Diceros bicornis minor: one gene and its partners. The protein of the gene in region 1 purifies or fractionates together with the protein of each later gene. This does not show direct contact. Links are inferred from orthologs where the notes say so. Each region holds a gene or a part of one and is shown in the gene's direction. Other genes may lie near its edges.

Region 1 (7,471 bases):
CAAAAGAAAATAATAGTAATAATAATAATAAATAATAGAGGCTATTTTCCCATCTTATCACAAGACTGTGATATAGATTTAATTCTTGGACTCCCAGAAAAAATTTAGATATTAGAATTCCTCCACTTCCCAACTTGTGATTGGCTGTTTCCCCAACCCAGTCATTACCAGACTTCAAAACTAGGGAGTAAGTTTGGAGGCTGAGGAAAGGTAGAAGCAGAGTAGGCAGAAGGGACAGGTGACAGAAATTAGGGAGTGGGCACATGGTAGAAGGGGTTGATAAATAGTGGTTTATTGAATATTCCTTTTCCCCAAAGTTCTGTTCACCCTAGCAGAGGCCTCTCTCCAGTCCAGCAGTCCACTCCTTTTCTTCTGGCCAGAATTCTGAAAGAGCCATCAAGTTCAACTTGGAAGCTTTTCTTTGAGCAGTTAAAGAGTCAGAGACCCAAATAACTTGTCATTTAAGGGCCGGCCCTGTGGCTTAGCAGTTAAGTGTGTGCGCTCCACTACTGGCAGCCCAGGTTCGGATCCCAGGCACGCACCAACGCACCGCTTCTCCAGCCATGCTGAGGCCACGTCCCACATACAGCAACTAGAAGGATGTGCAGCTATGACATATAACTATCTACTGGGGCTTTGGGGAAAAAAATAAATAAATAAAATTATCAAATAACTTGTCATTTTGAACAGTTTTTAAAAAATAGCACTCATTTTTTTTTTTTTTTTGTGAGGAGATCAGCCCTGTGCTAACATCTGCCAATCCTCCTCTTTTTTTTTTTTTTGGTTGCTAAGGAAGACTGGCCCTGGGCTAACATCTGTGCCCATCTTCCTCCACTGTATATGGGACGCCGCCACAGCATGGCTTGCCAAGCAGTGCGTCGGTGCGCACCCGGGATCCGAACCGGCAAACCCCCTGCCGCTGCAGTGGAGCACGCGCACTTAACTGCTTGCGCCACCTGGCTGGCCCCAATAGCACTCATTTTTTTTTTTTTTTTTTTGTGAGGAGATCAGCCCTGAGCTAACATCCGCCAATCCTCCTCTTTTTTTGCTGAGGAAGACGGCCCTGGGCTAACATCGGTGCCTATCTTCCTCCACTTTATATGGGACGCCGCCACAGCATGGCTTACCAAGCAGTACTTCGGTGCGCGCCTGGGATCCGAACCAGCGAACCCTGGGCCGCCGCAGCGGAGCGCGCGCACCCAACCGCTTGCGGCACCGGGCCGGCCCCAGCACTCATTTTAATGAGAAAAAAAAAGAGCAGATGAATTGTCACTGTGTAGAACTATAATCCCTACCTCACAAAGCATACACATATAAACCAAAAAATAGCAAACACTTCAATTATCTAAATAACCTTCTAGCATTTCACAATTTTTCACTTTAAACTGGTTATGCTGATATATAAATCAACATTTCGACAGCTGCTTTCTGTGCTTGGAAAAGAAACCCTATTTTTTTGTGTCACAGGCTTTATTAATTATAAAATGAAACAATCAGGAAATCAGCAACACCTTGAGGGCTGAGGCATACGTAATAGGTGTAGGCATTAATTTTTTTTTAAAGATTATTTTAACTCTGCTGGATTAAAGTTCTGAATAGGGGATGAGAAAGGAAAAAGAACAGTTTTTGAGCCCCTAGTATTCATGATTTTTACAAGTGTTATTTCAGTTAGTCTTGTGAACTCTAGCACAATAACAGCTATCATTATTCACTTTATACTATATATCAGGCACTGTGTTAGGGGATTTACATTTCTTCTCTCATTTAATCTTCACAGTAACTTTATAAGGTAAATGTTATTCTCATGTTAAAAATGAGAGAGTTGTGGCTGAAAAAGTTAAACCATTTGTCTAAGATTTCCAGACTTGAAAAATTGTAGTGTGAGGAATAAAATTTAGCTTTCACTAATTGCCATATCCTTTCTAGTTATTGTTTTTTTTTCAAATTCAAAAACATTTTTGCTGTAGTGACTGAGAATGCACATCAAGTGGGGGCTTCTGGGATGCCTGCAATGTTCTGTTTCATGATCTGGCTGGTGGTGATGTGGAAGGGTTCAGTTTGTGAAAGTTCATTGAGTTGTTCATTTACCACTTGTGAGCTTTTCTGTATATATGTTACATGTGATAAAGTGTTTACTTAAAAAAAAGTAATTCATGCTGAATACAGAAAATGAAAAATATAGACAAGCACAAAGGGGAAAAAAAAATCACTGGTAAGCTCACTACTCAAAAACTAACAGTTTCAGAAGCTGATTCAGTATAGGAGGAAATGATGGGATTCATGGTCCTCGTTCTCTTAAAGAAATTTAGGGCAAAAGAACTCCAAGGGAAAGTCTTCTTTCAAAAGTAATGTTTTTTTGTTAAATTACAAAAGAATTAGTACCACATATGGAAATTTTTAGAAAAAGAGAAAAGTAAATTTCTTCAGAATTCCACCTTAATATAATCATTCTTAATATTTTGGTATATTGAGTGACGGTGTCATGACATTATAGATCATAAATAGTTTTGTGTATAAACAAGTCCTTGAAAAGCAAAAAGATATTGAGTAAGAAAGTCGAACTATGCACTAAAGCACAGTTGTATGTGGGATAGTCCAAGTTATCTATAAATTTGTTTTATAGTCTGTTATGAATTGATTTAAAGGCCTTTTCAGACCTGTCTTCTAACTATTAGAGAAAAAAATAGCTCTTAACATTCAACATTGTGAGATTACTTAAATCCCTCAGATGAAAAAACATGCCCTTGTTCATTATTGTCCCCTTGTTACTTGATAGGTCTAAGTAAGAGAGGAGGCAATGTGTTAACGGAAAGATCAATGAACTGGCAGTCAGGAATTCTGGTTTCTAATCTTGGCTGTGCCACTCCTCAAAGCCTCATTGTGGACAAGTTTCAACTTCTTTGGACTTTAGTTTCTTGAGCTGTAGAATGACAGGATTGGGCAGTATCTCAAAGGACAATTACAGCCAAAACAATTTATGACACAGGGAATTTGGCCAGGCCTGGATCAACCTTTTATTATAATAAAGAATGAACTCATAAAGCAGAAACATTCAGTAACTGGGAGAAGAGAGCCTGCCATCTTTATTTGCAACCAGAGCAGGTACAACGTGTTTCCTGTCTTTTCCACATGTAGCCATGGGAAGAGAGGAGGGTAGAGCACAGGGACAGGATGTCCTTCCTTTACATATCACTCACCAGACTGTATCTTTAATTTTTTTCATAACCATCAGGTCTGATACCCCACAAAACAAAAGAATTACAAAAAACTTATTCGGGTGATAAATTAAGTACTTAAAATCATTTTCATTTGTTAAATTTTTTCAGGCACCTTCCTTTCATTATGGTAGTCTGAAGTTATAATGACGTAATTTCAGGGATTTCGGAGACGGATAACATTTACCGAGAAACGCTTGAAAGGACTTTGGTGTGCCTTTGTAGGCTAATATTGTTGCCAGTTTGCAGGTGAACCGTGGAAGAAACTGGGAACGGGACAAGTGAAAATGAGAAGCGCCTGCATACCTAAGACAGTTCTAGGGAGCAGAAAGGGGACTTTGTTCTTTTAGGTAGTGTAGCTTTAAGGCACTGTGAGAATTGATTATATGCTTGCCAATCTCCCTTTGATGACAGGAACTGTGTCCTTTATCTTTATATCCCCAGCGACAGATATAACCGACAATCAAATATTTGTTTAATTGAATTGAGTAAAAACTGCACGGAAAAAGGAGACTGAAATAACAGAGCCTTGGGTATCTGAAAATTTACAGGATTTACTGCAAGATTAACTGCAAAGGGAAAGCGACTTGAGCGGAGCACTGTTTCAGATGAGGTGTGAACAAACCAGAATTTGGAAGAAGCTGAACGCTGCCAGTCTAGGAGAGAGGTCATCAGAGTTCTTTATCAGTGAAAACTGATCAGGCAACAGGTTTGAACCCCCGAGTGAAAAAGAAAGGCAGGAGCGATAGCGATACTCGGGTTGGCAGAACTGGGGAATGTCTTGGATCAGAGAAACACCGAAGTCGGAGCCGAAGAGGGAGGGCTGAGATCGGCTGGAGACCCCAGTGCAGGGGCCGGACCGGAGAAGCTCGCTTTGAGCTTGTTTCTTAACAGAACTACCAGGAAACCCTAAAAGATGTGCAGCTCGGGCCGGTATTTTGGCGTGATAACTTCCGTATGTGAGTGTGCGGCAGGGAGCACCGCCCGATGACTTCCGCGTGCGAGAGAGACTGGAGCACCGCCCCCCCGCGCCTAGCCCGACCGCGAGGAAACCCGCGCTGCCCGCGGGGCCGCCCTCCGCCGTCGCCGGCCGGGGCGGGGCCGCGGCCGCGCCCGAGCCGTACGCATCCCCACAGGCCGCCTCCGCCGCGGACGCCCGCCCCACGCCCCGGGACTACATTTCCCAGCAAGCCCCAGGCCGCTCGCGCGCCGCAGTTGACCCATTTCCCGGCCCGTCCCGGGCTCAGCCGGCCCCCGCGCCCAGGCTGCTCCCTGCTGACTGGGGTGTGGGCGGGGAGCGGCGGAGGGAGGAGGAGGCGCTGCTGGCCGCCGCCGTTGCCTCTGCTGCTGGCTGCCTGGGCAGCTCCCCGGGTCTCTGCGGCCGCCATGGACGAGCAGGCGGGTCCCGGCGTCTTCTTCAGCAACAACCACCCGGGCGCCGGCGGTGCCAAGGGTCTCGGGCCTCTGGCGGAGGCTGCCGCTGCGGGCGACGGGGCGGCTGCGGCGGGGGCGGCCCGAGCCCAGTACAGCCTGCCAGGGATCCTGCACTTCCTGCAGCACGAGTGGGCCCGCTTCGAGGTGGAGAGAGCCCAGTGGGAGGTGGAGCGGGCGGAGCTGCAGGTAAAGACCCTCCCGGCCAGGCCCTCTTCATCCCGCCTCTTCGCTCCCTTCCGCCCCGCCCCGGACCCTTCCCCTCCCCCCTCAGCCCTCGCTGGTTCTCTCCCGGTTTGCTCCCGCCTATCCCACCAGAACCTCGTCCCCTTCCCCCCTTCACCTTTGGCTTTCGCTGACCCCACTTCCTTGACCCGGGTTCCCACTCCCGCCCCTGATGCGTTGTTTATCCTCCCTGCTCCTTTGCGTCTACACCTTCCCACTCTTAACTCAGTCTCATTTCAGCTCTTGCCATCGCACGTTTTAGGTCTTCCCTGTCAGTTTACTAATTGGGCTGACAGTAGTTTTGAGAGATGCCGAGCAGATCATACACTGCCGTAGTGAGGCTCATGCTAGGTCTAGAGACGTTCCCCGCAAAAGGTATTGGCAGTTGTCTCCTCTGTCTGAAAGGAAGGTGATCAAAGAAGACAACAGAAGTTGTGTTCGTGAGGCCTTGACTTTAGGCAAGAAGCTGATGTTGGGTGAAAGTGTTACTAGGACTATCAGCTCCCCTTTTACATATGCAAATATTTCTTCTCTTCCCTCTCCCTCACCCCCTCCGCGTTTCTTTTAGGTATTTCAGATTCGTGGATTTTGAATGAAGAGCTTAGATGATCACAGTCAGGTGATGGTTTCCTGTTCTCAGAATCTAAAACTTCTCAAGTGTTAATTCTACGTTGTGTTTTGTGAGATTGACTTGTACTTTAAAAGGCACTAAACAGGGCTTTAAAGTTGGTTACATTTCCTTGCATAATCTGCAAGATAAAGTATATCCAGGGAGGAGCTATTGTGGGCTCTTAGAAGAATGAAAGTGAGGCTGACACTTTACAGGCCGTTCTGAATTGGTAAGTAGGTTTCAGTGGCTGTTCTTAAAACTTCCAAGGCAGACGCCAATTTCACAGGGAACTTAAAGGACTATGAGTGGCTGTGCTTTTCTGTTTTACTGGCTAATCCTGTATGCTTATGAAATCTGAGTAAAGTTTTGGTTGGTGAAACACTTGAAGTTAAAATGCTAGCCAATGTATCCCTTTTTTTGGTAACATGTATTTTCTTGGGCACTTTAAAAAAAAAAAGGAAAGGAGAAATCTGTTAAATAGAATCATGTGCTGGAACAGGCTGCTTTGGTGTAGTGGAAGGGGCTGTGGAAAGAGCAAGCAGGCAGGGTGCTGGCTGTGCTTGCTGCTAGCTCTGTGACCTTGAGGAAGTCCTTTAACCTCTCTTAACTTCAGTTTCATCATTTATTTATTCAGCACATTTATTGAGTGCTAGCTGTGTGCTTCTAGGCACTGGGATTAACAAAGCCGACAAAGCCTCTGCCCTCATGGAGTTTATGTTTTAGTCAGCGAATGCACCTATGTAATATACTGACCCATAGTGGCAACTGCTATGAGAAAAATAAATCAGGGTACAGAAATAGAGGGTGATAGGGGCAGATATTTTAGATGAGGTGGTTAGGGAAGACCTCTGGGAGGGGTTGAATGAAGCCCGGTGAGTGACCCATTGTTTCTAAGATTCCTTCTGGTTCTTTATTCTACAGTTAGTTGTATGTTTATATTTTTTGGCAGCTTTTTCATCCCTACTATTATGTTCCTTTAGTATTTAGTCTATTGATCTTTGTAATTTTTCTCGTAATGAATCTGACCATGTCTGTATAGTAACCAGCAGACTTAAATGCTTCATTTAAATTTATTGGTAATTCACCTTTTTAGCAATGCATTCCATAAAAGAGCTTGTGGATTTCCAGATTTCAAGGAAGCCTTAAAGGCAGGCTTTAACTTGAACGTTGTACAGTTGCAGAGAATGATTTTTGTATGTAGCTGCTTAAGTTTTAATTTCTTTTCCAGTTTAGGGGATGTAAGCTGTCACACTAATTTGGTCAAAAACAAACAAGAAAACAGTTCTTACCTTCCTACTTGTGGAAGTTTGGGAATTTCCAGCCCGTCTCACCCCTCCCCACCCCACCATGTTTAAACTTTTCAATTTACCTGTAACTAATCACTCTTCAGTTTTTTATTCAGTTTGTTAAGCAACACAGTCACGTGTTGCTTAACGATAGGGACACGTGCTGAGAAATGCACCATTAGGTGATTCAGTCTTTGTGTGAACGTCATAGTCTGCACTTACACAAACCTAGGTGGTATAGCCTACTACACATCTAGGCTGTATGGTACTAATCTTATGGGACCTCCATCGTATATGTGGTTCATTGTTGACAGAAATGTTATGGGGCGTTTGTGTGCATATATGTGCGCACACGCCCGCGCGCACACACACACACTACTTTTTCGGTTACTTATGGCAAATGTTAAACTTCAGGTAGGTTTCCAATTGGTGCTCATCATATTAAGGGCACTACATTTTTACAGTCTTTTGGTTTGTGCTCAAATTAAATTGTCGCAGAGAAACTTAAAAAATGTGTCATATTTTCCAAACAGAACAAGTATTATATTATGTATTATTGGGGGAGAGAGTTTCCACGAAATCTGTAGTCTTTGATTCCCTTAGTAGCATAATTGAAAATATATTTTTTAAATCATTTCTTTATAGCAACATCCTTAAATTTTAACATCCCTTCATTTTTCTTTTGCCGTTGGGATTTTTCTTGA
Region 2 (7,559 bases), on another chromosome or scaffold:
ATGAGAATACTTGAAAGAGTGTAAACAGATACACAGGTAGACAGACCTGTTTTTAATAACGTTGTGCTAAATGTCCTCATTTTGGGGGAAAGGTGTTTGAATGTTTGTGGGCATGAGGCCACTTCCTCCTTTTCTTCAATATAGATATAAATCTTGTTGGCAACATATAGGAGAAACAATGAGAGAAACAGATGTACACACAGAGAGAGAGAAAGAGACAGACATTCACACACACCCACTGAGATACGCCAGAGATGCCTGAGTCTTAAAACAGAGCTAAACAAAACAAAAAGCTGATACCCATCATGGTGTCCCAGAAAGTGGATTAGACTGGATCTTAAAAAGACATGAGTGTGAGACCTAGTTTTACTATTTAACTATAATCTTCAGTAATTCACTTAACAACTGTGGCCTCAATTTTCATCTATAAAATGAGAGTGCTGAATCAGATTATTTCTGAGGTCCCTTCCAGCTTTATGAATCACATTTTAGCGGAGGTTTTTCCACTACACAATTCCTAAGGCTGATAAAATGAGAAGATCAGATGTAAACAGTGGTTACCAAGCAGTGGTTACTAAGGAAGCCTCTGTAATCAAATTACCAAGGTTCAAATCCCATTTCTGCCATATACTAGATGTGAGACCTTGAGCAAGTTATTTAGCCTCTGTGCCTGTTTTCCCATCTGTAAAATGGGGATGATGACGATGAATTCATTGGTGCTGATTATACATCAATCCCCATCACCTAAGGTTGTTGTGAGGACTGAATTAATGCATGTCAAGTACTTAGAACACTACCTGGAACATATTAATGTTTAGCTCAATAAATGTTTATCTTTTTATTATTACTATTATTGCTTGAATTCTTAGAAAACTATGTTATAAAACTCTGAGGTAGTGGTAATTAAGGTTGATAAGCTCAATTATATCATCATTAATTTCTGTACTAAGCATAAATCCAGAAAATCTGTTATCCTAGAATCTGCTTTGAGTAGAGCACTGTGTATTTGAATAGAGTACTGAAAGTATTTTCAATGTTGACCTTAAAGAGTATTAGCTTTATTACAGAACTGGTTTCTTAAGGCTTACTTCAAAGTCTATATTGACAGTACTGGATAAACAAGCATCTCGATCCCTTAGCACTGTTGTAATTTCTTTGTAAGTGTACTATTCATATTATATTTCAGGATCCTGAAATTGATAATCTCTAAAAGTGTTTCAAAACCATTCTGTTTTATATAATGCTACGTATAGTATGGCTGGAAAAAGCAGACTGATAAGACAAAGCAAGGCATTCTGAAAAATGTGTTATAGCAGTCTTGTGGTAAGGGGAAGGCTAGATCTAGTTGCTCTGATGGTCTTTAAAAGTAGTAAATGATTAGCATGTCGTATTAGTTTGCTAGGACTGCCATAACAAAGTACCACAGACCGGGTGGCTTAAACGACAGAAATTTATTTTCTCACAGTCCTGGAGGCTGGAAGTCCAAAATCAACCTGTCAGCAGAACTGGTTTCCTCTGAGGCCTCTCTTGGGCTTGTAGATGGCTGTCTTCTCCGTCTGTCTTCACATGGTCTTTCCCTGTCCCGTGTTTGTGTCCAGATTTCCTCTTCTTGTAAGGATACCAGTTATATTAGATTAGATCCCACCCTAATGACCTCATTTTAACTTAATTACCTCTTTAAAGACCTCATCTCCAAATGCAGTCACATTCTGAGGTCCTGGGGATTAGGACTTCAACATATGAAATGCGGGGGGGACATAAATCAGCCCATAACACATTATAATACATAGACACATAAAAGTCCAAATAGTCCCGTAATACCTGTTAACTTCAACTGAAAGAAGATCGATTTGACATTTGTAGTAAAGCTTACATTGCTTAGTATTGTAGAATTCAGTAAAAGGAGATTTTACACCTTGGTTTTAGAAACTTTGTAAATAATAATAGCAAAAACACCTCGCTTTAGTAAATGTACAGAAGATCTGCTTTCTTGATCAGAAAATTATTTTCTGTTAGTTTTTTGACGTATTTTTCTTCCCTAGCCTAATCCTAAAATGCCACAAGTGGAATGAGAGGTATAGTTTGGAATGTTGTCACTCTCTTACCCCCAAATGCATAAATAACCCTTCTGAAAAACCAGAAGTGCCAGAGGGTGGGGAAACTTACATCTTTTGAGATAGTCAAGGTAATGTGTCAACACCTTCCACCCCTAAATAGGAGGTTGCTTTGGATACATTTTTAAAAATAGCAGTGCATTTTTGTCCATATTTAGATTTAGTATTTATAAATGTGACATGTTTATTTTTTTTTTAATTTCATATATACTAAGTTTTTAAGGAAGTACGTTATCTAGTGGAAAGCTGTCAAAAAACACCCATTTTGTATGTCAGTGTTGACTCTGAATTTTGAGAATTAATTGGCCTCCTGTATTTTGGTTTTGTTTATATGTATGTGAAAGAGTCTACATAATTGGAGCAGACTTGCTTTATATCTTTGCCATATCTTATCACTAATACTAAAAACTTACTGAATGGCCTGAATCTCAGTCAATTGTAGCCCAAGTATAAATTTCTTAAATTTGATGTCTGAGTATGTAATAAAGAAGTGATTTTTATCCAGTTTTGCAAGAGTGATCTCCTGGGTAAAACAACTGATTTGTTTTTTATTCTAGCCAAGTTGATTTAAAAAAAAAATGTAGTTTTTTTGAGGTGTTTCTATGTCCAGAAATATCCAAGACTCATCTAGAAATGTTGTTTTCCCTCTTCCATGCCCCATATCACCCACCACTTAGAAATAAAGCCTTCAGTTCCACATAAAGACATACGCACACCCAGATACTAGATAGACAAACATCTTACTTATACTCCACCCTGCCCTGCCCTACTGCTTACATAGCTATAGAAGCTGTTTGGGGTGTTTCTTTTTCTGCCACCCAATCTCTATGTGTTAAAAAACAACAACAATGCCTGCTATCCTATAGAATTAATTCAGAGTTCTAAAGCAAAAGCTGGGACTTCCTCAAGAAGGAAAAAGCACAACCACAACCAGAATGAGTGGAGCTTAGGTATTATCCAGAGAAGGGAAAAGGTCAGAATAAAATGAACAGAGCCCAGGCCACAGCAGCATACTTCCATGGCAAAATCAGCACTGCCCTTTAGGAGGCTGGGAGGGTGGGAAGGAGGGTGCCCTTCTTAATAGCCATAACTCTTGTGACCGTTGGCACGTGAAAGTTCATATAGAAGAGACTTCTGCCCTCCTGGCTATTGGCCCTGACTTGGTGGGAAGTAGATTGTGAATAGACCAAATGGTATGCTGGGCAAACTCATGTTTGAAATCAGTTACTGATGACTTAAAAACAAGTTTCCTACTTAGCCCATAAATAGCCTTATTTTTCCAGGGTATTAAAATATCTATAACTTTATCTTTTTTATTATATGTATTTTTTAATTGAGAAAACTATAAAGCTTAATATAGCTACAGCTGGCTGTACCACAGGGTATGATAATGTATCCAGACAACTTGTCCACAAATGGTTTTCATTTCAAATTTATAGACTGTAGCATTCCTTAGACAGAAACATCTGCCTCTAAACTCTAAGGAAAGTTGGGTCTTAGAGAGATTCTAATGGAAGGAATGAGCTGAGCATCTGGTTGAAATGATCTTGTCTTTCAAAGTTACTTACTAGATGATGACAATGACAAGTAACAGCTCATTTACAAAATAAGTAGAGAATGACTCTGTAGACTACAACCTGGCATGCCAAAAATCTAGCAGTCATATTTCTGATAATGAATATGGAGTTAGATACAGCCTTTTTCTGAAAATATTGGGCCACATGATTTATATGTTGGGCAGAAAGTAGAGTCCAATAGACTTGGTGCCTTAAAATACGAGACAAAAATTATGTTTTATCAAATAAAATTTAAAGCCTATAATTTTTTTAAAAGTTTGCTGGGTCTAATACACTCTTATGAAAACATAAAAAAATTTGTATATAATTCAACATTTAATATTTTAAAATAAATGGGAAAAAGTAGAAGCTGGGATGAATGATCACCCTTACAGACAAAGTTGAGATGGTGACAGGTTGTCTTTTTGTTTATTGATTGGCAGGAGGTGAGCAGATGAGAATTCTCCTTACGCGAATTTGGCAGTTTAAAAAGTTCAGTTGTAATTATGTTATTTTTCTATCTGAGTGCCTTGTGCATACGTCATGGTGATTCAAGCAAATAGGCTTTTGTCAATACGGGGAGAGAAAGTCAGTCTCTTCTAGTGACATTCATAAGTTAGTCCTTGAAATGACAGTGGACATCTTAAAGTAAAAAAGATTTTGAAAGTTCTCACTTTTCCTAATTATAATTGCAAAAGGGAAGTCAGATTCCTGGTGTTTTTCCTGTATTGCTTAGCCTCAATTTGAAGAAGTGGCTATTTTCTTCTTTCTTGTCTGTATCAACCTACAGCTGTCAGGCCTCATCACCTGTAATGACGGTTGACATTCGTGGGATTTACAAAATTGTTTGTAGTGTGGTCACACAGACAATAAATTTCTTATTATTTTGCAGCATTGGACACTTTTCCACCATGCTGACGGCATTTTAAATATATTCGTCAATTTTCTCAAATTGTAACTGAAGAAAACCTTAAGAATTTATACTTGAGGACTGAAGTGTGACTGCCAATAATCAGGTCAGTATCACCCCCATCCCCACCCCCACCCCCACCCCAGGAATATCACTGCCATCTTAAAACATAATGCAGTTTTACTATCTTTCATTTATATTTCTGACAAAAATTTATTGCAATGTTTTGTGTATTGAGATTAGATACAAATGTAAAAAACTGCTAAATTTTAATATTTATAAAGAAAAGTTATGGGAATATGGGAAAACAGACCTGTTGGTTTTTTAATTATACAGCTGTGGCCCTTTATTTCCTCCTGTGTCATATTTGTATTGTATTCACTTCATGTAGACAGTAAGCTAAATGAGTTGGTACATATTAGCAGAATGTTCCAGGTATTAAAATTGGTGTACAGAAGTGATTTACAAATGTAAAGATAACAAGAATATTGTTGTTTATGCCATTGACAAAGAATAGAATTTTTCCTGCCTAGGCTGGACTGCTTTATAATTAAAGTAACTATGCAGATTGTTTCAATTTTACTTCAATTTTTATGAGGATGTATATTTATCACAACAGATCAAAGACTGATTTAGGTACAGTCTGTTTTAGTTCTTTGTGTATTTACCTCTTACTCTTATTTAACAGGATTCTCTAACAAATAATTCTTGATTTTTACCATAATTCTTGATTTTTACCCATGAAAGCTTAGAATGGAACCAAGAAGGACCTTAGAGATTATCTAGTCTGTCTTATTTTACCTGTGAGGAAACTCAGTGCCAGAGTAACTGGGTAATTTTTTTCTTCAAGGCCATATAGCTGTTTAGTGGCAGAGCTGAGATTAAAATTCTGCACTCCTCACTCCCAGTTTTCCTCATATCATACTGCTTCTTTAAGCCACAGCTTTGGATCTCTAAATAAGAATATTTAAGGACTATGAAGATATTGAAGGAAAAAAGAGTAATATGTGTGAACACTATCATTTTTAGTTCTATTCCTACCTTCCTACCTTGGTGCTTGTCCATCCAGTTGATTTACTCAGTGCAGTGGGTATTTATGGAGCCTCCTTACCAAGTCCCCATTATTTCCGTTAACATCATAGGAGGAGAGAGGAAGGGCATAAAATGATAGGATTTTTCCTCTGCCTTATAATCTCTCAGAGAGAGATTAAAACATGAAACCATCAGGAAGAGGGAGAAGGGTTTCATCTAAGAAACCAGTGTGACTCAACTGGTAGTTTAAATCCTTCACCGTTCTTCACTCCAGGATGCTATCACCCTTCTTCATTTGTGGTTCCCAACTACAAAAGGGCAGCTGAAGCTATTTCTGAGGTCATTGATCTTGGCTGCCCCCAGATTTGGGAATGCCTTTCTTAGAATTCTTTTGGAAGAAGAGAAGATAGTAGTTATTAATGATTAAACCATTGTTCAGCTTATATCAGGAACTTGGCAAGATGTTTTCCACTTATTAACTCAGTCTTCACAGCAACCTAATGAGTTAGATGTCGTCATCCCCCTTTCACAGATAAGAAAACTTGTCCAAAGTCACACAACTAGGAAGATGCAGACCTGGCATCTATCTGACTGCAAAGCCACGTGCTCTCTCCAGCATACCATCTTATATTAAGTATAGCTTTTCTGGGTTTGTTGTTTTTTTAGTTCTTATTTTTAAAATAACTGTTGTGAAATGTCTCTCTGATACTGAAGTGAGAATCACTTATTAGTTGCTAAAACTTACTAGGTAGAAAGTTAGCAGTTAGAGGTGAAGTTACATTGAACATATTTTACCATGGGGCAAAAGATTGGTACAGCATGTCCTGGAACACAGTCTAACGTCCTCTCCTTCATTTAAAGGCAGTAGCTCTGGAAGGAGTCAATGACTCTTTTGTGTGCCTCCTAAAATTTAATGTGCTTCTAGGAGTCAGGAATTACTGGAGGGTGTGTGAACTAGTTATGTTGTGATTCACCTTAAAGAAAACTATGAAAGTGGCTGGGGCCGGCCCGGTGGTGCAAGCCGTTAAGTACGCGCGCTCCGCTGCGGCAGCCCGGGATTCACCGGTTCGGATCCCAGGTGCGCACTGACGCGCTGCTTGTCAAGCCATGCTGTGGAGGCGTCCTATATAAAGTAGAGGAAGATGGGCACGGATATTAGCTCAGGGCCAGTCTTCCCCAGAAAAAAGAGGAGGATTGGCATCAGATGTTAGCTCAGGGCTGATCTTCCTCACAAAAAAAAAAGAAAACTAAAAGTGACAATTTGGAAGTAAAAAGTGGGAGAGGGAAAATAGTATTTGCTCTACTTTGGAAGTTATAAAATGTATCTTACTATACACAGTGGTCAGGAGACTCTTAAAGATTGTGTAGCAGTCTAACTTTTATGTATAGTTGCTGAGACATTAATCTTGTGGAAAGGACTGAACTTGTGCCATGCAATTTGCCATTTAACATATTTCAAAAGATGCAAGACTTCATAGAGATGTGAACTTGTTAAGTCAAATAAATTCAGTCTGTAGTAGCCTGGCCAAATAAGCTGTTTAAACAATATATTTTAAGCAGTCATTTAAAAGTGTATTTGTATATATTTGCATTTAAGTCTTATTTTACTATATGGAATATAAATATTGTGATAGATGTTCTCTGTGAAAGTAGACAATTTAAAAGAAGAATTTCACCTATACTCCTACCAAACATTATCTTTGCTCAAATTTTATTTCAGCCAATTTCAGAGGGATGCCAGAATGTTTTATATACAGTTTTGGAATTTGGTTATCTAAAACTTGGAAATCTTTTCATGGTCTAACAATTTTTCAGTGGAATAGTATTCATTGTAATACAATTTTACCTGAACTTCTAGTGAACAAAATTAATGACTAATTCTTTCTGAGACCTTCTAGGATGTTTGTAAATATGCCTAGAGGAAAAATGATGAAAAATTGATCTTGT
Region 3 (7,657 bases), about 31 Mb from region 1:
TCTCGGCCGAGCAGGAAAAGGGCGGGGATGTCAGCCGTGCGCTGGGTACTGTCCTGGATCATCTCCACATAGAAGCTGTCATTGTCAACCGCGTTGTCAGAGATGATCACTGCCCTCCCGCCGTGCTCCTGCACCACCCGGGTCTTGGAGAGGAAGGAGCAGCCCCTGGAAGAGGTGGTGATGAGACAAAAGGAAAGGCAGGAGTTGCCCCTCCCACAGACCGTCACCCTGGGAGGATGAAAGGACCATGGAAAATTTTTTTATAAAGGCTCGTAAGTAAATGGCCAAAAGGCATGGATAATCTTAAGACATTTCTTTAAGACTCTTAAAAAAATTAGTTATTTAAAAACAGCTCTTTGAAAGCACCACCACCAACATTGGTCTCAGAATCTACCCCGTGCCTGACCTTCCCTTGTGCCAGTGCCTAACCGCTCCTCACCCCCTCTCCACCAGAGCGATCTGGTCCTGGATGAAGAAACCGTTGGTGAGTTCCCCGCAGGCCTCTGAAGGTTCCGCGGGGACGAGGTGAATCTGCTCATACCTCGTGTGCTGAAAGACATTTAGACAGGCCAGAGTGTGAGGAGACACGCCTGCTTTAGGACCCAGCTGACAAAGGGTGAAGGAAACGGGGAGTGGTTTCTGTGCGGTGGGCACTTGAGCATTTTACTTAATTCTCACAAAAGCTTAACTAGTTGTCCTCCTCAACCCTGCCTTTCCGTGAAATAGGGGAGTTGATATGGACCCAGAGAGGGGAAGTAACTTGCCTTAAGTGACACAGTGCAGAGATAGAGCTAGCAGAGCCCTTGGTTTTTCACCATTTCATGTCACCAAAGAAGACAGCTTGTCCCTCCATCGTGCGCAGGTTTGTATTATACCCAGAGGAGTAGCTGGAAGACCTTCCTTCCTGCACGGCAGCCCCTGGAGGGCAGAGCTGGATTCTGCTCCCTTCCCTGTCCCAGCACTCAGGTATTGGTTGAAGGGATAAGAGGGTCACCTCAGCTTAGTAGGGGGAAGGTGGAGACAGGATCAGAGACCTGGGGGCCTCCTGAACTTACAAAGATACCACCAAAGTCCTTGGCAGGTGTGGCTGTGAAGATGTAGCGAATGTCCCCAGGACTCAGCACTTGGAAGTACAAATAATCATGGATGCGTAAGCCTGAAAGATAAAGAGTACAGATGAGAAACCTCCAGGGAATGAGCTGGTTCGGGTTCAGATCATGGACCTGTGTCTTCAAATGGGCTGGCTATAGTCTGGGCCCAGGGACCCAGCTTCAGCCAAGTGGGTCCTCCAGGTGGTAGAGCAGATGGGGAGAATAGAGTTGCCCTGGGGAGAATAGAGTTGAGCAGACAGAATTAGTAATCCCAGAGATGTAGCTGCTGTTGCTGCTACACAGGTGAGCCAGGAAGACTGAGAGCTCTAGTGTTCTCTCTCTGAGGGTTAATCTGTCTTTGCTCTGAAGTGGACCCGAGAGTTTCAAGGTGGAGCTGTGGTACCAAACAGTCCTCACTAAAACTTAAAAGTTGACTGTCTGGTGCCGGCCTGGTGGCGCAAGTGGTTAAGTGCGCGCGCTCTGCTGCGGCGGCCTGGGGTTCGCCGATTCAGATCCCGGGTGCGCACTGACGCACCGCTTGGCAAGCCATGCTGTGGCAGCGTCCCATATAAAGTGGAGGAAGATGGGCATGGATGTTAGCCCAGGGCCAGTCTTCCTCAGCAAACAAAGAGGAGGATTGGCAGATGTTAGCACAGGGCTGATCTTCCTCACACACACACAAAAAAGTTGACTGTCTGGTTCCACTGCCACTCCCCTAGTTCAGCCACTATCGTTTCTTGTCCTGACTATTCCAGCTTCTTAACTGGTGTGTCTTCCTCCATTCTTGCTCTCTAAGGTCCATTCCCCAAACAACAGCCAGGGACCTTCTTAAAACGTCCTAAAGCAAATATGACCATGTCACCACTCATGGCTTTAATACCCTTCAACAACTTCCCTTTGCACTTAAAATCTAAACTCTTAGCTAAGGCCTGCGAGACCCTGCTCCATCTGGCCCTTGGCTACTCCTCCAACCTTATCTCTTCCTTCCTATGTTGAAGCTACGCTGGCTTCCTTCCAGTTTCTTCACTTCTCTGAGTCGTCTTGCAAGCTGCTCCCTCTATCTGGGAGGCTTCCTACCCTCACCCTACCCCACCTCTACCTCTTTGCCTGGCTCACTCCTACTCATCCATTAGGTCATAGCTTAAATGTCACTTGCTCAGAGAAACCTTCTGCTTATGACTGCCCTCCCCTTATGCCCATTCAAAATGTACTTTTTCTCCATTGAGATTTTCAACATATTTTATAATTATACAGTATTCATGATTTTTTGTTTAATGCCTGTCTCCTCCACTAGGGCAAGGACCATAAGTTTGTAGCTTCATTCAATGCTGTATCTGCGTTACCTAACACAGTGGCTAGGATGTAGTGAGTGCTCAATAAAGACTGTTGAATGAGTGAACAACAACTATTTTCAGCTCCATTGCCCTGAGGAAGAGAACTGCCAGCATGACCAAATTTTTCTGGGGTGGGGGAACATCTCTTCAGCACCAAACTTTAATGTTTTACCTGGACTTGAGTCCCTGGTTTTCTTAGCCCAGAGAGACTGAGGAATGTGGAAGGGTAGAAGCTGCTGCCACAGGTCCATTAGTCTATCAACAAACCACCAAGCCACTACTATGTGCCAGCGTTAGGACTGATTGTGCCTTTAGCTGTCATTGTCTACTGCCCAAATCACAGCCGCCAGGTAGAGCTCCATCCATTGGCTTGGCACTGGGCTATACAGCCTTTTATCCTGGGAGTGGTGACTTCCCATCAGACACAGATACACTCCCAGGAAGCCTTCCTGGACTAGCACAAACTCCTCCTCCTCCCCACACACATCTTTGCATCTGCTGATCTGTGTAAATTAAATGTGGGTATACGTATGTGCTCATGTATGTGTGTGGGTGTGTATGTGTGCTCATGTAGGTGCAAACAGGTTGTGTGTGTACCTGCGTACTTGTGCGTGTGAGCCCACGTGTAGGAATGTGTGCTCCTGTATATTGAGTGCTCACATACATATCTCTAGCCGTCCCTTATTCCTCCTCCTGGTCGCCCCCTCAGCCACCTGGGTCAGCGCTAGTGGGGTCTGGGGGCAGTCTTGCTTCGGCGTGAGGAGCTGAGGACTAAGAGCCTAGCCTCAGGCCGTGCTCAGCTCATGTCCCTGGGGACCAGCACCCACCCACTCCAGTCTCCCGTCCCCCGACCTGCCCTGCCCTGAATTCGCGGGGTCCCCAAGGTGACCCGTGGCCCCCGGCCCGAGACGCGTGCCAGCTGGACGGCCAGCCCCGCCCAGCAGCGCAGCCCCGCCGTTGCCACTCACCGTGGGCCGCGACGCACGCGGGGAGCCAGAGCACGAGACAACACCAGCCCGCGGCGCCGGGGACCATCTCCAGGGCCCGGCCCGGCACCGCGCTTCCTCCCCCTGCCCCGCCGCGCGTCGCTCGCCGGACTTCAGCCTGACAGCTGCTCCGGCCTCCCGCCCCCAGACCCGCTCTCGCCGCTGGTTGGTGGACGGGAACGAGGACCACGGCTGATTGGCTCTGACGCCTGCTTATATAACCGCACTTTCCGCCTCTGCGCCTTAGCCCACTTCCTACTGGTCGAGAGAAGTGGGGCCGAGGGGTGATTGGTCTAAACTCTTAACAGCAACTGCCGGCCCCCACCCCAACCCCGCCCCAGCATTTCTCAGTGTAGGTTCGACTCTCCAGGACCTAGCTGGCTGGTGGGCGGGCCGGGGAGGACAGGGAAATGGAGGTGGGGACCCTGCAGGACTCGCTTCAGCCGCCGAAAATCCTGGTCGTCAGCTTTTGCGGTCTCGGCCGGATCCTCCCCGCGGCCGCCTCGCACGACAGCGATTTGCCTTCTCCCAACTGTGCCTCCCTCTTCTCCACCCCCTCCTTGGGAAGACATTCGTCTAGCGACCCGGTGGTCACCCGCGACCCGCGCTCTGCTCGGCCTCTGCCCATATCCGACAGCGCTTGCGCGCTCACTGTCGGTAGGCGCTGGGGACGTGGCCTGATGCACCCCACCCTGGAGGAGGCTCTAGCCAGTGCAGAGCCAGAAAGCGGGCTTTGGGGCCAGGTGCCCACGCCTGCCTTTCTATCAGTTACTGTGTAACTATGACTTTGAACACCTTTCCTAACCTCTCAGCCCCAGCTCCCTCACCTGTAATATGGGCATGATAATAGTACCAAGGCGATAGGGTTGCAAGGATTAAGTGAGACCTCTTACGAAGTGCTTACTTAACATGAGCCTGTCCCACAGTCAGCGTTTAATAAATGTTTGCGTTTATTGCATGCCTTGGTCTGCCGTCCAGGGGGAAAGGGGGAATGCAATTAGGGTTAGTGGGGGTCACGCGGGCTGAGCAAGGATACTACACGCTCAAAGAAAAGGCACGACCGAAATCCGGTGACCTTTCGCTAACCAAAGCTTCTCGCTACAGCACCCTCGGAGGCCCAGCCTCGGGCCCTTCTAGCAACATCGACTCTGTGGTAATGAACCATAGGGTGGCGGAAGTGGCCCGTCCCCTTCCTCTCCCGGTCCAACCGCTCGGTGAAGCTTCTGGGGACTTCTCTGGCGCGGTGCATTGTGGGGTTGTTGGGCGGCCTGGATAAGGAGACGAGAGGAAGAGTAGCGGGCCATTGAATAAGCTTCCAAAATGATGGTGAGTGGCGTCTCGCGCATCCGTCGCCATCCGCTGCCATCTGGCCCATGGCTGGCGCCGCTCGGCCGGGGTCGGTCCTCTAAGGCCCTCCCCTGCCTACTGACTCTGTCCTCGCCCCGGCCCCCTGTCTGTGGGCGACCCCGGCCCGCCGCGGCCTGGCTTGGCCCGGGCGCGAAGCAAGGGCCCTGGGCGAGGGCTGTGTGGGGCTCGAGGGGAGGCTCTGGGCGGGTTGGCTGGGGACTACAAGTCCCAGGGTGCTTCGGGGCCGCGAACCCGCGTCGGAGACCCGGTTTTTGGAGCCCCTCACAATCTTGAGTTGTGTTAAACGAGTGCGGATTTGGCGCGCATACGCGGTCGGCGAGCAGACGTGGAAGCCCTGGCTTCCCTGGGAAATGCGGGTTGTAAAGACATGTGCCTCCTAGAACGGGCAGAAGCAGCATGGGACCTTGGGTTGGGCTGAGCCCCAGGTCTCAACTATGGTCGCTCGCTACGCCCCAGCTCGGCCGCTGCTGATAAACGGAAACAGACTCCTCCGCTCTCACTTTAATTCGTTCATCCACTCGTTCATTCGTTAAGTAAATGCGTATTTAGTGCCTACCGAATGAACCATGCCCAGCTGGTTGTTGGGGGTGCAACAACTCAGCCAGGAGAATGGGCAGGGCAGATGGGGACACTGCATCAGAGGGGGGAAGACGGCTCTGACTCCGACCCTGTCTGCCCCTTCGGATGTGACGTTAGACCAGGCTTTTCCAGTTGGCCAGCTCACCCTGGGTCTCGTTTTCTTAGATTAGGGAGGTTAGTGAATCCTAACCTAGGAGGCTCCCTGTAGCGCCCTTCGGCAGCATTCCTTCTCTGCATCTCAGAGCTGCAGGTACTTTACATGAGACCCAAGCCTCGGTGGTAACTCCTGAGTTGCTGTTGAACAGGGCCAGCTTTTAAGGAAGTGTTTGAGGCAAAACCCGACTAAGTATTGCTCCCTGTGCACTTGGCAGTTCACTCTTTCGCTTTGGCCTATCAGTCCCACTCAGTTCTCTGTTCTTTTCCTGCTTCCTGCCTCTTCTCTCTGTCCTGGTAGATGTCAAGCTGACACCTGTGAGGTGTTCATTTCTGCTACCAAATGCCCTGTGACTCCAGCTTGTACCCAAGAGAGAAGGAACCTGGCATTTATCTGTACCCCCCTCCTCTTCATACCCCAGTACTGCCCTTTTTCAGTCCTCTTCAACATCATCTATTCCTGAAGTCCTCTTCATTTTCTGTGCGGAGGCAGCATAGTAGAGGAGTAGAGAGTAAGGGCTCTGGAGCCACACCAAATGCCTAGGTTTGTAATTCAGTACTGCCACTTACTAAGTGTTTGACTTTGAGTATGTCATTACATTTCTGGCCCTTAGTCTGTTAGAGGGGATTAAATGAATTAATACGTATTAAGTGTGCCTAGCCTGTAGTGAGCACTCAGCAAATGTTAGCTGTGCTGCTGGGCAGTTGCTTGCTTCCTTTCTTCCCTGTAATCCATCCTGCTGCCAAGGCTACCATAAGAGTTTTGGTTGGCATTCAAAGAATGGGGGTCAGAAGCAAGGTTCTTCTGTCCAATGATGAAACCGTTCCCCAAGAGGCTCCAGACCACCACGCTTGGGTTTTTCCGGGACTGACCCCTGCTCTGTTTCCCTGCTGTATTGGCTGTTTATATCTCTTCTTTTGGAATGTGAAACTTCTGCCACCAGAATCCTCCTTGCTGTCATCAAATTGGTCCTTGATATTCTAGAAGCCTTCTGTGATTGAAAGAGAGGTAAAAGGTCCCCCAAAACCTCAGTCCTGTGACTTTGGTACAGCTTGTGCCACAGAACGTCCTTGCCTTTGTGGTGTTGAGCGCTGTATGCCTTGGCATATCAACACGTTGTTGTTTTATAGAACATCAAGCTTAATAAGGCTCAATAAAAGTTTTTAAGGAGGATGAAGAGGAAGATCATTAAGCTAAAATTCCCAAGTCTTCCATGATATCCTTTGCAGGGTACTGGAATCTGCTATTGTTTGTTTACATGAATACGAATGAGTGAGGTTGAAAAGTAACTTAGGGACAGAAGCTGGGCTTTCCATAGTGGTGCCTGCCCCTGGGGAATGGATAGAAGAAAACCTATCCTGCTTGACCTGACTTAGCTCAATCCAGCTCTGCCACCTTTTCCTCTCTTCCCCGCTTCCACATAGCGTCTCTCTACCCGGCCTGCCATTTCTTTTTTTTTTTTTTTTTTTTTTTTTAATTTTTTGTTTATTGCAGTAACATTGGTTTATAACATTGTAAAAGTTTCAAGTGTACATCATTGTACTTCTATTTCTGCATAGATTACATCATGTTCACCACCAAAATACTAATTACAACCCATCACCACACACATGTACCGAATTATCCCTTTCACCCTCCTCCCTCCCCCCTTCCCCTTTGGTAATCACCAATCCAATCTCTGTCCCTATGTGTTTGTTTATTGTTGTTATTATCTACTACTTAATGAAGGAAATCATACGGTATTTGACCTTCTCCCTCTGACTTATTTCACTTTGCATTATACCCTCAATGTCCATCCATGTTGTCACAAATGGCTGGATTTCATCGTTTCTTATGGCTGAGTAGTATTCCATTGTGTATATATACCACATCTTCTTTATCCATTCGTCCCTTGATGGGCACTTAGGTTCAAAATCACTAACTATCAGGGAAATGCAAATCAAAACTACAATGAGATATCACCTCACGCCCGTCAGAATGGCTATAATTAACAAGACAGGAAACAACATGTGTTGGAGAGGATGTGGAGAGAAGGGAACTCTCATACACTGCTGGTGAGAGTGCAAACTGGTGCAGCCACTATGGAAAACAGTATGGAGATTCCTCAAAAAATCAAGGATAGAACTACCATATGATCCAGCTATT

The links. The genes of interacting proteins can lie anywhere in the genome.
Region 2: the proteins of STRN (region 1) and CTTNBP2NL purify together in Homo sapiens (affinity purification with mass spectrometry; 5 studies listed by BioGRID and IntAct, with this or other methods). This does not show direct contact. The link is inferred for Diceros bicornis minor from reciprocal best matches to the Homo sapiens genes STRN and CTTNBP2NL.
Region 3: the proteins of STRN (region 1) and CCT7 purify together in Homo sapiens (affinity purification with mass spectrometry; 3 studies listed by BioGRID and IntAct, with this or other methods). This does not show direct contact. The link is inferred for Diceros bicornis minor from reciprocal best matches to the Homo sapiens genes STRN and CCT7.

Annotation. Positions count from the first base shown.
Region 1 is NC_080751.1:47,156,572-47,164,042, forward strand, and holds the start of STRN (striatin), read left to right. Parts: upstream 1-4,462; 5' UTR 4,463-4,601; coding exon 4,602-4,835; intron 4,836-4,976; exon of another isoform or gene 4,977-5,710; intron 5,711-7,471. UniProt on the Homo sapiens protein: Calmodulin-binding scaffolding protein which is the center of the striatin-interacting phosphatase and kinase (STRIPAK) complexes.
Region 2 is NC_080743.1:45,209,476-45,217,034, forward strand, and holds the start of CTTNBP2NL (CTTNBP2 N-terminal-like protein), read left to right. Parts: upstream 1-4,551; 5' UTR 4,552-4,686; intron 4,687-7,559. UniProt on the Homo sapiens protein: Regulates lamellipodial actin dynamics in a CTTN-dependent manner. Associates with core striatin-interacting phosphatase and kinase (STRIPAK) complex to form CTTNBP2NL-STRIPAK complexes.
Region 3 is NC_080751.1:15,657,378-15,665,034, reverse strand, and holds the start of CCT7 (T-complex protein 1 subunit eta), read left to right. Parts: upstream 1-4,649; 5' UTR 4,650-4,731; coding exon 4,732-4,737; intron 4,738-7,657. Other genes in the region: PRADC1 (protease-associated domain-containing protein 1), read right to left, coding at 1-165, 440-549, 1,056-1,156, 3,394-3,460. UniProt on the Homo sapiens protein: Component of the chaperonin-containing T-complex (TRiC), a molecular chaperone complex that assists the folding of actin, tubulin and other proteins upon ATP hydrolysis.